3 linked regions of the Drosophila melanogaster genome follow. Changing the gene in region 2 together with the main gene of any one other region gives a genetic interaction. Each region holds a gene or a part of one and is shown on either strand. Other genes may lie near its edges.

What was found. Genes that interact genetically often act in the same process or in processes that back each other up.
Region 1: of S (region 2) and su(sable), changing one suppresses a phenotype caused by changing the other (phenotypic suppression), as found in Drosophila melanogaster (2 studies listed by BioGRID).
Region 3: of S (region 2) and Raf, changing one enhances a phenotype caused by changing the other (phenotypic enhancement), as found in Drosophila melanogaster (2 studies listed by BioGRID).

The regions. Positions count from the first base shown.
Region 1 is NC_004354.4:634,065-638,917, reverse strand, and holds the start of su(sable) (suppressor of sable), read right to left. Parts: upstream 3,029-4,853; 5' UTR 2,639-3,028; intron 2,477-2,638; exon of another isoform or gene 2,331-2,476; intron 586-2,330; 5' UTR 472-585; coding exon 198-471; intron 138-197; coding exon 1-137. Other genes in the region: Dredd (death related ced-3/Nedd2-like caspase), read left to right, coding at 3,435-3,524, 3,629-4,372, 4,431-4,793. UniProt on the Drosophila melanogaster protein: RNA-binding protein that suppresses transcription of some RNAs. Together with Wdr82, part of a transcription termination checkpoint that promotes transcription termination of RNAs and their subsequent degradation by the nuclear exosome.
Region 2 is NT_033779.5:1,074,815-1,079,772, reverse strand, and holds the start of S (star), read left to right. Parts: upstream 1-1,957; 5' UTR 1,958-2,938; intron 2,939-4,958. Other genes in the region: ast (asteroid), read right to left, coding at 1-652, 708-1,148, 1,205-1,738.
Region 3 is NC_004354.4:2,293,916-2,298,493, forward strand, and holds the start of Raf (Raf oncogene), read left to right. Parts: upstream 1-1,550; 5' UTR 1,551-2,043; intron 2,044-2,238; 5' UTR 2,239-2,438; intron 2,439-4,578.

The sequences.
Region 1 (4,853 bases), on a different chromosome or scaffold from region 2:
CAGTCCCTCCCCGGATCCCTCCAAAGACTGATCGCTCGTATCCTGGTTAGACGAACGCATGCGGGGCATTGGGGGCTCTATGCCCTTCTTCTTGAGGGCATTGGCAATCGCCAACTCAATGCTGCTAGCATGGTCATCTAGGGAATACATCCAGATTAAACAAGAAGAATCAATGAAACAACTGAATGAGCTTTCACCTTCTAATGGGCGAGGCTTTTTTGACTTGGTGCTGTTGCTGTTTTGGAGGCAAACGGCATCTGTCGATGGTCCCACGTAAACGACATCTTCGTCGTCATTTTGGTTCTTAGCCTCGACACCCACAAACTGCACATCGTCGTCCCCTACGAAAGTCTTCTTTTGGACTTGGATTTTTGAAGATTGCTGCTCGTCCTCCTCATCGTCGTCGATCTCGCCGTCCTCTAAATCCTCCTCCAAGTCAATTAAGGGTTCATCCGCTAAAGCGACAGACATTATCGATTTGGCAGCTAATCTCTCACAGGATGAGATTGGAATAATTGGTGCCCTTAAAAAAAGTGGCCTCCCTCTTCTGTTGCTGCACTCTTAAGTGTTTGGTATTTGGAAAAGCTGTTGATAAGGGATCGGATTTTGAATACCATATATGGATGCATAAATATGTTTTAAGGTCAAATTCCCAATCTAATCATATATAAGGACGTCTTATAATTTGTCTTAACGTCCAATTACAATATAAAATGGTATCTTAAAATAAAGCAACTGCTAGTATTAACTAAAAAGGTGGAATGTACCATAATACGCTTCTAAGTGAATAAAAACGAATTAATAAATGTAGTTTAATGCCCCTTATTCTTTTTTTCCAAAATCATTCGGGGATTATTTGAATCACCCCATTGGCGGTCAAAATTTTGAACACAAATGAAAGGAATTGGTTAACACTAAAATCAAGCGTTGCTTGAATAAATGCTACATTAATGTTTTTGAGGTAAATACAATATAAAATGGCTGGTATCACAAATGACTACGGATTCAGAAGGCACGTCCAAGTACTAGCGACAGAAACTATTGACTTAAGATAGACCACCCGGATCATACGATCCTGATGCATTCAGTCAGAGTCACTTTGTAGCGTGGGCAGCATGGCTGCGATGAATGTTTTGGGCACCCTTCCTTATCTCAGCACTCGGAAAGTTTGAGCACTTTTCGCTGACAATGGTTGGATTGCTCTTTGTTGGTTGGTTTAAGTGGGATCGGATCGCTTAGGTTTAGCCTGGCACTTAGCTAGTTCCAAAGTGCAGCAACAAAATAATAAGCAAATCAGTTTGATGAATTAAAGGGTATGGGTCCTGGACATGCTTCCAGTATAAAATAAAAGTGATCAACAAAGTTGCGCTAGCACATTTGTTGTGTGGAGAGAACGAGAAAGGAAAATACACTTTTTACAATTGGCTTAACATAAAGATTCAGTTATACGTAGTTTTGGACAGCGAAACAAATTCCAGAATCCGAAAAGCGAAAGTCGAAAGCAACGGAGTGGCTTTCCATTGAGCCTAGGAACAATGGGGAAGTCGTAGGCGTTTGCCTTTATTATTGTGCGTAAGCGGAGTGAACCGTTATGAGCCACACGCGCATATGTACATGTGTATGTAAATGCTCGTAGCATTGTACATATGGCGCGGATGCGTGTATATATTTGGATGTAGCTGATGGACGGAATCATTGCGATTGATGAAAATAACAAAATCCAATGCGTCTCACACACGTGCATATAGAGCGCGTGTTTAGTTCTGACTCGCGATTGCCAAGCATGTCGACTCGCTCGCACACTCATGATCTAAGCAGGGCATACACACACACAGCCGAGGCGTGCAGTGCGAGTGCGCGTGTGTGTGTCGACTGCGAGGCAAAATGTTTTTGTCTTTGTTTATACATACATACATATATTTTACAGCGACTTCAAAGCGAATTTGAATATAATTGTTACACTTGAGGTGAAAGTTTTTGTTTGGTTTTCGGTACGATTTGTTTGAATGCTCTGTAAATGGAAGGCGTTCATGCGTGTGGCTTCCCTGCTGCGCAGTTTCCACTTGCATATGTACGTACATACGAACAGCAAAAGAAAAGCACGCAATTTATCTTTTTGTTTGGCTGGCGTTCCAAAATCAAGTGTATGCAATTTAAAAAATTTGCACCATCTGTCCCTTTCTAGCACCCACGTACGTGGGCGTGGGGAGACATGGCCCCGAGAAACATACATACATACATGCATACGCACACATGCATATGCATTGAAGTACATACAAAAATCTGGGAACTACTTATGCCATACAAACATTTCATTTGTTCGATCTTACTCTCTTAGCGTGACTGCTTTATGCTTTTTTGTGGAACATTAACAACTTTTCGGTATTTGTTATAACATTGCTGTTCGGTTTTCGGTTTATAGATGGGATTTTGTTGGTTCGTTGTTTTGCATTTCGCATTTTGCTTTTCGGATTTTCTGCTTTAGTGTTTTGTTTGCGTCGCTGCTTACATAATGTGGAAGTGGTACAGTAGGTGGATAAATATATACATATATATAGAGGCATACATGTATGGGATATAGCAGTGGCCTCACATAGATGTGTATATACATGCATATGTATATATATGTTTGACATACATCTGACTTATACGTATTTGATGACGAAGTGGTTGTGAGGTACATAGATAGGTACGAGACAAATCGTCGAATTTTTCGCCAGTTTTCGTAAATCGAATAGCGGCTTTAGTTTTTTCTTCTGATACTATATGTATGTACAGATTTATATATATGTGCGTGAGGCAAGCGCGCGCTCTCGCTCGCACCCGCTTGTAGCTTGCTTTCGCCCTCTTTCTCTGCCTGAGGGCCCCGTATCTCAGTATCTGTCCCTTTCTCTCTGTCTGTCTCTGTTACGCTCATGGACAGAATACAATATACAAAAACATTAAATTAATAAAACTTTTCGTCCAAAACATAATATTCAGGAGTTGTGTTGTTAACAGTTCAACAGATCGACTTAAACGAACTAGAGGTGTGGAAACATAAAAATACCAGTACATCGATATTTTTCGCAAAGAACATATCGTCGTGTTGGATGATATTAGTTAATCGATGTTTTTACCTAGTATATTTGGTATTTCCCCAAAAACCGTGAACGCAAGCTTACTTTTAAAGCTAAAGGCTCGCTGGCTGCGACATTTTTAAATATTAACCGATTGTTGAACCGGTTGTTAAACTTCTATATCAAAAAACTACATCATCTGTTTCTTAAGTATAATTAATAGGTAGCACCCCGATCTTTCGCTATTGCAGAAAACATATCCATTTATCGATATCGATCGGTGGAAGCTCTTCAGGCCACGGCTATCGGATGTCAGCGAGTGCAATTTATCGGCCATTTCCTAAAGTGAAACATTTTTGTATATTCCCGATCGCCATGGCCGGATCAAACCTGTTGATTCATCTAGACACCATCGATCAGAACGATCTGATCTACGTGGAACGTGACATGAACTTTGCCCAAAAGGTATGGCACCTCCCTGGGAGGACTTTTCGAATATGACTCAAATGTTTTACACATCCGCTAGACCAAAGTGTTAATTAAACAGTAGAACCTTCGTTTTCTTCTAGGTGGGCCTCTGCTTTCTGCTTTATGGCGACGACCACTCGGATGCCACCTACATTCTGCAGAAACTTTTGGCCATGACACGATCAGACTTCCCGCAAAGTGATCTACTCATAAAGTTCGCCAAGTCCCGGCCAGAAACCTGGAGAAGACATCTCGTGGAGGCCCTGTGCATTATTGGGGCCCGCAAGGTGCTCCGGAGACTGGGTTTCTGCTGGCAGGAGCTGCGAATGCACTACTTGCCGCATATCGCTGGGATCACGCTGCATGTCCATCCTCTGTTGAAGAGCCTCTACAGGATGTGTGAGGAGTTGTCGTTGGTGCAGAGTGGCCGCTTGCTCCTAGATGTTCGCGAAAAGGTGGAGAGCCAGCAGGCAGGAGATCCACTTCGCTTCTACGATCCCGCGTACCTGGAGATCTTTTTGCTGGACTGGCTGACCAGAAGGAGCATAAAGTTAGGGGACATAAATGCCGCAGGCAGCGATGTTCAGCTGCTGGTCGGCCATTTGAAGTCCAACGGTCTGCAGGCGCAAGCAAATTTGCTCAAAGACACCATCATTAGTAACGCTCCGGAGCCAGATGCGGCTGGCACTGCTGCGATGGCAGTCAAGCAAGAGATTGAATCGGATAACCAGCAGTCGTACTGTTCCACACAAATAGATGCTCTTAAGTTGACCCGGGAGAACGCAGGAATCGCCTTGATTATCAACCAGCAGAAGTTTCACCGGAATGTTAGCAGGGATAATATGGTTTCATCTCTGCAATATTGAGTAACAAAAAGAAGTACAACATTGCCCTTCTCCACAGAAATTTCTGTCGCCCGACCCACTGCGTAGACGGGATGGCACGGATGTGGATAAAGAACGACTAATCGAGGTGTTTTCCTCGATGGGATACAATGTGGAGGCGTACGACAACGTGGATCACATGGGCATCATAGAGCGCATTCGCAGTGCGTGCGATAGATCGCTCGTGCGCGATTCCCTAGTGGTCTTCATCCTGAGCCACGGCTTCGAGGAGGCCGTCTACGCATCCAACAGCATCGCCATGAAGATCACGGATATCGAGGACTTGCTCTGCAGCTACGACACCCTGTACTACAAACCGAAGTTGCTAATCATACAAGCCTGCCAGGAGAAGCTTGTCCATAAAAAGAAGCCAAATGAGCTCGTAAGGAGATTTATAAGCATGAAGTCGTCGAATGGGAAAGCCTATACATTTTCGTATTCC
Region 2 (4,958 bases):
GATAGGCAGGCTTCTTTTCAATGGGCATCTTGAAATACCTCACGTTCGTCACTCGCAGAGCTCTGGTGAGGTAGGTGAGATAGGGGACTGTCGAACCCTCTATATCCATATCCACTTCTAATGGTAGCTCAATTTTCTCACACTCTACGTGATGGAGAAGAGCGAACACGTAGTTCAGGATGGGTAAGGCCACTTCATTGGAGTCGTGGAAGGGAAAGTGCTCGATCTGTGGGTTGTTGATGTACTTGCGCAGGTGCATAAGGTCCACGAAGCTGCGGGGCAGGTGCGCGGGATATAGTTTGTCCAGAAACCATTGTGGGAAGAGTAGCGTTTTGTCTTCCACTTCCAGCTCGAGGCCTTCATCCGCCTCCTCTTCTTCTTCATCACCCGAATCAACGTCTTGATTTTCTTCCTGCTGCTCCTCATCTTGGTTATCAGCTTCCTCCTGATCCTCGCCTTCTTCGACATCTGAAAATTTTTCATCGGAGCTAGACGAATGTTCATCGTCGCTGCATTCCTCTTCACTGACGGGTTCTATATAAGGAAAAGCATTCTCGTAGTGCTCATCGAAGTAATCGTAGGCGTGGCACAACTCGTTGGAGTAACCAGAGATGGCTGCATTCACTTGGGAGACCAGGGAATCACGCTGGTTCTGCAAGAATATTATTTTTAGCATAAATCGGAAAAAGATATCTCAAGCAACGAACCTTTTTCAGTCTCGACAGCACTTTAGCCAGAGCAGATTCCGCCGTTTCCTCCTTCAGCCATGTGAGGATGACCTGTATGCGCTTCTGCTGGAGCTTTAGTTTGCGACTTCGTCCTGCTTTGCCCATTCCCGCAGCAAAAAAGTTCTTGAAGGCACTGCGGGCAATATAGTCATTGCCCAGGAGGGCGGCAAAAAGGGGTAGCTTCTCGGGACTCAGAGTTCCTCGTCCGCAGAGATGGGACACCCGGTAGATGCAGCAGTCGAGGTACTTGTAGGTCTTGGAACTGCCTTTTGTACTGGCTGTCAGCCCTGTGGTTTGAATGCCAGTCACAATCTTGTTGGCCCTGGTGCGCTTCTTCACATTCTTGGCCTCGCAGTGACGTAGATCTCGACTGTCCTTCTGGTTGCTGCTGTTCTTGTCCTTCACCTGCTTGGTGAGAACCTGGGGTACATGGAATCGCTTAGTATATGCTGGAATCCAAATAACTTATGCCTTACCTTAACAGTCAGCGTGATCAGCGGGATGTACTTGACGTTGTGGATGTAGAAATCCGAGTCGTAGGAGAGCACTGGGCAGTTAAGTTTCCTGGCCAGAGCAGCCAACTCGTCGTCCGCCTCAAAGACGCACCTCATCACCGGGACTCCGCAGTCGCGCACAGCGTCCACGAAAACCTCCTTGAGGTGCAGCGGGAACAGCGTGATGGATGCATTGGGGTTTATCTTCTTGATCACGGAAATCTTGTTGCGCAGCCGGGTGCTAACGGTCCTCAGCTTGCGCTCCTCGTACCCGCCGTCCATGAGCACATAGGGCCGAATGTTGCACTCGGCCAGAACCTGGAAGAACTGCACCACGGCGCGGTAGAAGTCGTCGTAGTCGCCGCCGAAGGCGGAGTAGCTCCCGGTGACATCCTTGTACAGATTGCAGCTCAAGTTGTCGCCATCGATGACCAGCGCCGTGGAGTGCAGCTCGTGCGGCTTAAGGTAGATCTCCGCGCGCTGCGCTATGTAACTGGTCAGGCCGCGGACTCCCATTTTCCCGGCGCTTGCCTATTTTCCCAATTTTCTATTTACCTATTTTGCACAAACTTTAAAAGCGTGCTAATAGTGATGTCAGTTTGCAGTGCGATACTATCGATGTACATATCGATTCTTTAGCGTGGCCGTTCGCTGCCGTTTGGTATATATGAGCGATTAGTTTGGTATCTAGGGTATTTCCCGCAGCCGGATGGTATATTCCGGGGATGGCGCCGCGGTCACACTCTGTCCCGACAATTCCAACCCGACGCTTGTCTGCTCTCCACCCGCGCATCAAACGTCGAAAAATCGTAACGTCGCGAGTGCTACGCGGTGGCCAGGAGAAAAATTCGCCAGCAATAGCAACACTTGTACCGAAAATCTAAAGGAAACTGGGAAATGTACTAGCACAAACACAGCGAGTGCAGTGGAAACCGAAATCGCCATTGAATCGAAGAGCGCGTGCATATATACGGGTTCCGTTGGTTCCGTTCCGTTTCTTGTCGCTTTTCTTGCACACACTTTACCACTTTACCTTTGCGTCTCTCGTTTCGTGCGTGCGTGTGTGTGTGCGCGGAGTGTGGTGTGCGTGCGTGTGTGTTGTTTTTGTGTGTTCGTTTAACTAAAGCACAGGTAGAAGGAAAAGCAGCGGAAAAAAGAAAACCATGGGCGAAATATGCATATGAAATTAAGTAAATACAAGGCGACAGCAGCAGAAAACATCCAGTAGCAACGAGAAACAACAACAACAATAACACACGTTAATAACTCAGCTTTGTGCGTCTTTCGTCTGCGCTTCACATAGTATTATTTTTCTCTTGGATTTTCCACACAAAAACACCATGAGTGAGCGAGCGAGAGCGACGATCGTGATCACCGTGTCGTGAATGAATTTTTGTCAGTGTGTGCGAGGCGTGCTCTACGCACACACACACGTACGTAAACAACACAACCACACACGGCCCATCATCGATCACCAATCACCTGTGTGTGTGTGTGCGGCATTTAATAAATAATTGTGTGCAAATAAATGTTCCAAAAGGAAATTGTTAAGCCAAACCAGCAAAAAACGTAAATCAACCGTGCGATAATTCGTCCTAGAGTTGAAAAAAAAAGACGGTTCAAAAGCAAGTGCGTGTGTGCAGAGTTCTTCTGGTGTCTTGGGAGCTTCGTTTTACGGATACGAAACATATATAACTTCCCTCTTTGCCGAAAAAGGTGAGTTCAAAATCAGGGAAAAATCCCTTTCCCATTGGCCAAGGCCGTTCCGGGAAATCTGCGAGTGGTCTTGGCCCACGTTTCCTGTCTTCCGCACATTTTCACACGTCCTGCAATTGCAATTTTTTCCGATTTCCCAACTCTGCACCTCCTGTATGTTCGGCGATTCCCACGCCTCTTTTTTTCGGGGCAGGTATTCGCAGGTAGCGGAAAGAGGAAAAACCCTCGGGAAAGCCGATAAACTAGAGAAAACCTCTGTTGGTGGGCCGAAAAAACCAGAAAAAATAGAAGAATTGAAATGTTTTCCCTGGCTGCTGAAACAGAGAAAATCGGGCGAAATTAGGCACCCGCTGATTCCAGAAAATTGCTCGTATAATAGAAACATCTCACTGGGGGAGAAATAAATTATCGTTATTATCATCTGCAGTTGCAATTTGGCACAATTTCGATATGACTGTGCTCCCATTTGCCCGGCGATTATGTAATTTTCGCCGCTGTGCTCGAGAATCAGGTTCATTTTCCATATGAAAAAGGGGGCTTTGCTGCAGACATTGCATATATGCCGACGATCTGGCGACCACCGACAGTTGCCAGCAATTTCCGGCGCTTTTTGGCAACTGGAAATCGAGCACAAAAGTTCATCCCAGGGCTTAGAGAGCCGCAAAAGGCGTAGCCATCCATATTCACCCCATCCCAAACGCATTTCCCAATGTGGTTTATAGTTTTCCTACAGCTGTTGCGACTGCGATTTTAACGATTTTTACTGGTAATCCGGGGAGGAAGTGAAGTTCATAGCGGTTCGACCAGTTGATACCTCTTAATAAACTGTTTGTAGGGCATTTCTGAAAAGGAAATATTCCAAAGCGAGATTTGGTTAGTCTCAATCCTTAGAACAGCATTGCTCACTTCCTTACACAAGTGCATACTACCCTCGCATACCCTGTAATCAGTGGGCACCATAAAAAGAGTTTGAATTTCAAATAAAATCCACTCTCCGGCACACACACAAGTCCACTGGGGAGCAGCTGCTGTGTGTCTCTTTGTGCTTGGTCTCAAATGACACTTGCCAGCGCTGCTGCTGCATATAATTCCGAGTTCTGGGGAATTTCCTAGTAGGAAGTGCAGGGGCCACAGCGAAAACACCAGCAAGAGTCGCACTTGATGATTGTCTTGCCACGGCTATTGCCGTCCCACTCTGGAAACGTAAATAGAGAGGCCCGATAAAGAGCGGTCTCGAACTTCCCCCAGTTGTGTTGCCTCTAACCCAACTGAAACTGAGTGGAATCGAGGTTTTCTGGCGGCATAAAATTTGATAGCAATTAAGATATTTGTTAGAACTGTTTCTAATGTCACATGTGCTGCGTGTAGGAGTCTCATCCTGCACTATCTTGTTTTTCGCACTTGCCCCGTTCCCATTTCCCGGCTGGTACTCCAGTTACTTGCCGCAATTGACCAATTAAACAATTGTCTTTGATTAAATGTGCAAATTTGTCTAATGTTCTGCACTGCGCGTATGTGCAAAGCGGATGTGCCCGCTTAAAGCTGCGCTTAAATTGCCCGCGTAATTTGTCACTGATCTCACTTTCTCAATTGGCGATCTCTGATTTCTGAGATTCCTGATCTCTGCCTGGCCAATTAGGCGTCATTATGCGGCAGGCAAGAAGGCACCGTTAGATGGAGCCATTGCAACAGTGGCCAGAATAATAACAGCGACTAGGAAATAATGGCTAATGGCCTATACCTTTGCCCATCTAATGCTTCTTGACCTACAAGCCTCCACAGGCCTCTCGCGTTTCCTGCCCGCTTTCATTTACTGTTAATTATTGTTTAGAAAAGCGCGGGGGCGGGGGCCAATAATAATAAGAAGAAGAAAAAGCAGCAGCATTGGCCAATAAAAGCTTGCAAACAATTTCGAATTTCCAAATGGTTTGAAATGCAGCCCAGCTGGCAACAGAGGAAAAGAGGCAGCCAAATCAACCGAAAGGCAACACGGGGCCATAACAACAATCTTGCTCGCACA
Region 3 (4,578 bases), on a different chromosome or scaffold from region 2:
GGTCAGTGGGTGGTGTATTTGTGTTGTCGTGGGTGTTTGAGTGGTTGGGCGCTTCGGTGATGAGCATAATCCGCATAGTTGTTGCTCCTGCCCCTTTATTATGTAAAAATAGTGACTTTGGCTGGATTTGGCTATGCAAAGTACTTGCTAAGGCAATCACCTACACTTGCGGCAACTGCTAATTGAGAAATCCACACGGCGCTGACATGGAATCATTCGAATCCATTGAAATTGCCAAATTAGGCGTGGGGGTAACCCCTTGAACTTATCGGCTCGGCTTAACGGGTTTAACAAAATTAAATACACACATATGCGCATGTATACATATGTTCATGCTTGTAGAGTGGCTCCTATAGTCTGTTTTGCGAATCAGAATCCAAGTAGAATAGTTTTTTAAGTGTTGTCTCAAAGATGTATGCATACATGGATGTATGTATGTATGTGTGCTTATGACTCTGTAGAAGGTCTATAAACTATGTATTTTGAGGTTTTGAAATGCGAGCTCGAATCAACCCCCTTCCCCGTTTCCAGCTCGATTCATCCTCTTCAACAAGTTCATCTCATCATTTACAGTTTTAGCATGATCCGAAAAATAACAACAACAACAACGACAACAACAAAAGCAAGAAAGTGGGCACAAATAATCGTAACAACAACAATTGTGAGGTCAGTTTGGCACTAGTCAGCGTGTGTGATTATGTGCGCACTTATGTCTGCGTGCATGTACATACATACATATGTTTGTGTGCGAGCACAAAGAGACAATGCAAATTTGCACTCAAACAAAGAGAGAGCGAGTGCAAGTGCGAGTGCGAGAGAAAGGGAAGAGTTCATGAGCGTGCGTTGTGAATGGCTGGAGGGGTCGAGTGCTGTGAGTGGGGGGATCTTTGTTTATCATTTTTGTGTACTATTATTAAGGCGCCGCTGACGGTCGATGACGACATACACACACACACACACACACACACGCAAATGCAAACATAGAGTTTGCACGTGTTTGTGCAAAGTGTTTAGCCGCAAGAAGTAAAGTTCTCGTTTTGATTTTGTTTATTCAAAATTGAAATTCCCAGAAACAAAAGCTCCCATGACGATGATGATTCACATGCCAGACGCTGCGGGGAAAAACATCAGGAACTTTATCAGCTAATTGTGTCACAAGAGGACAAATAAGCCAGAAACATTTGCCTGCGCGCGTTTCTTGGTATAGTGCCATCAACTCGATCTCGATCTCAGTAGTTCATCTTTTATAATGCCCACACACACATACATATGTACATATATGAGCATATGTACATATGTACATAAGTCATATGTACATATATGAGCATATGTATGTACATAAGTCATATGTACGTACATACGTTTTTGATTATCTTAAAAAATTGTAATCACACGTACTCCTGCCATTTGACTTAGACCCACTTTCGATATTGACAAATTTTCAATGGTTTTACATTTTTTCCCCACCTCTATTCATAATTTCTGTGTCTCTTGTGTTGCTTAAATGGGCCGTTTTGATTTCTTTCGCGTCTCATTCCAATTCCATCCCTCTTCCATTCCCATTGCCACACGCTTGGCGCTCTTTTGCATTTTCTTAAAGTCGCCCAGATAAGTTCGGAATTACGTAATTAAGCGGCAGCAGCAACAACAAAAACAACATAACCAACAAGCTAACAATTAAGTATTTATTGCTTTCAATTTGCTGCCCGATAACAAAAGAAGCCAAAAAACAAAAAGGAAAAACGAGAGACTGGAAAAAACAAGCAGAACAAAGTAAATAAAAACCGAAACGGACACACATACACACACACACACACCGCTACCTGCGTCGACAGCGGCAGCGAAATCAGCGCCTCGCTTCAATTTTATTCCGTTTGAATTTGAAGATGTTTTTAGTGCACTGCCATTAAGTCCTTAGCACGCGCTTTTATTTCGCTTCGTTTCAATGTGCAGGTAGGAATAACAAAAAGCGGAGGATGGGAGTGACAACGAAATCGAAACTTTGCAACAAAATTGCATTTGAATGAGCAGCGGGGGCGCGCGGTAATTTCAATTATCAATAACATATTTAAATTCCCCATTCTCCTCCCCTTCTATTATCCTCTGTCCCTCCTTCCCCCCTCCACGGACTCCTACACCTTTTTTAGTCGCTCTCTCAACTCTTGATTGCTCTCTCTCTCCCTCTCTCTGTGCGATGGGAACGTTCTCTTTGCCTTTGCATCGGCCACTTCACTTCAGCGGAGAGCACAGTGGGATAAATTGGCAGTTGATGACCCATTGTTGCATTATTGTGTTTTAACCATAAAGCCAACAAATGCTTGGCGTTCAAGCCCTTCATGGAGTAACGCATATCAACGGATTGTCGGGGATTATCCAACGTCTTAAAGTCAAAATCTTACAAATCGCAGTATTTACCTGGCAAACGTGTTAATCCACAGGTAAGTTGGGCTGAAACCACCCTAAGTCAATATCAAGGGTTTTTTTTTAGATCTTTCTAAAGTTTAATTGTACGCATGTCTTAGCTTCGAATTCTTGTCATCCGAAATGCTTTGTTGTCCATTTGTTCTTGTTCTGGCCCACTGTGCCGCGTGTGAATGAACGTATAAAAAGTGAGAGCGTCGCCTGCCCGACTCATAAACGAAAATCAATGACTCCCAATGCGCGTACCCTTCCCTCACCCCCCTGCGGAGCCCAACGCTTTTTGGGAGTGATAAATGCCGCCTCAGCGTCGTCAGCAGATTTCAGCCTGCGCATGTTTGTCGGCCCGCAAACACTCGCAAACACACACACACGCTCTTCCCGTGATGTTTGTTGATTTGGCTGCATTCAAGAAACGACAGTGCTTGGGGCAGTGGGCATTGTTAGACTTTTAGTCGTTTCAACTCTACTTTCAGTGGGTATCATCCGCAACCAAAAGGAGGAAGGATGAACATTGCATGTGTGTACATACATATGTACATACGCAGTACGTAGTACGGATTACGTATTACGTATGGGCAGTTGCCATTTATGCAAGGTGGCTGTTCCTGCACTCGAACACATGTTTGTGTGGTCATTTGTAATTTGGTCAGGCGAGCAACAAGAAAAAAGGATAATGAAAGGATCAAATGTGCGTAGAACGTACATATAAAGGGTGTGATATCACAATTATTTTCGATGACTTCGTTTAATGTTGGAAAAGTAGACGGGAATGCATTACATCGAAGTGAACTATTTAACTTTGGATAGAACTGTTGTTTTTTGTAGGCATTTGCATTTCTCGCCGCTTCTTCTGCTCCTCCTCCTGCTCTTCGCTTTGGCGTTGGCGAGAGAGCGCCTCGTTGGTCTCTTTGTGTGTTTATGCTTTCAACATTGATACGTGCCACTTTTCGGATGCAGACTTGCGAGAAGCAGCGGGGGGGGGGGGGGGGGAAGAGGAAGTGGCAGAAGCTGGTAGACGGGGGCAACGTGTGGGGACAGCTGGGTGAGTTTGTAATTAATTGCGGCCTTGCCTCCCCTTCACCGCCAAACATCCTCATCCCCGGCAGCCAGGCTCCCTCGCTCGCTCAGGCAAACTCTCTCGCTGAGAAACCAGCCGCCAACAGTTTGTTTTCTTTTCTCGCCGCTCTCATCGTCACTTCCGACTCGTCGGGGGCAGAGGGTGGGCCAGCGGCATACTCTTTGTCTAGTCGCCAATCTCCCCGCACTCCACTTCATTCATGAAGCACAAAGTGTACAGCAGACACTCGCTAAGTGACTAGTGTTTCGTAATTCATTAAGATTTTTGTTGGTTTTCTTCTCTCATTTTTCCCGCACCAATTCTGCACTATTCACAAGTAAAAATGGCACCAACTCTCTTATTTGTGGGCACTAAAACGACCATGAATCGTCGTTCGGTGTTCACTGTACCTGCTGCCAGTAGCCCAAAAACGGACAGTGGCTGAGGCGTCAGCGTCGGCAGAGCAAAGAAAGCGCGCTAGTTACAGTTACAGTTACGTTACAGAGGGCCAAAGACAATGCTAGGCTTGGTTAACGGTAATTACAGCGTTTGTGGGGGGGGGGGGTGTGGTGTAGTGCTCGGGCGTAGCTAGGCAGAGGGATATTTGTTAATACATATGTAGCACTCGAATTCTTTAGTTGGTTTATAATATCATCAAGAATGAGGAAAAAACTAGCTAATTTGTTGATAAATGTTAAGATGCCCCTCTGTTTTAAGTCCTCACTAAGCCCATGAAAAGCACCGTTAATTGAGTGGGATGATCCCCATTGAAAGCGCAGTACTACAGCTAATTCCAATACCACTTTCAATATCCAATTGCTCGCCTTTCAATCGTCGAAACGGTGAACGAAGAGGAGAAAAGATAAGGGTATGTACCGAAATGTGGAAATACCCGAAAGGGCCATTGGAATATGGGATATTGAACCCTAATCGTGAAGACCTCGTGTTTTCTTTGACTCATCAGCCGATTTTGCGATAATGCGCTCTTTTTGGTATCCGTTGGATGATACATAAATTAAATACATAAATGATAACTTATAGAAACACCATACACAACTGTTTAGAAATTTGTGTCAATCACTGTGACTCACTCATGATTG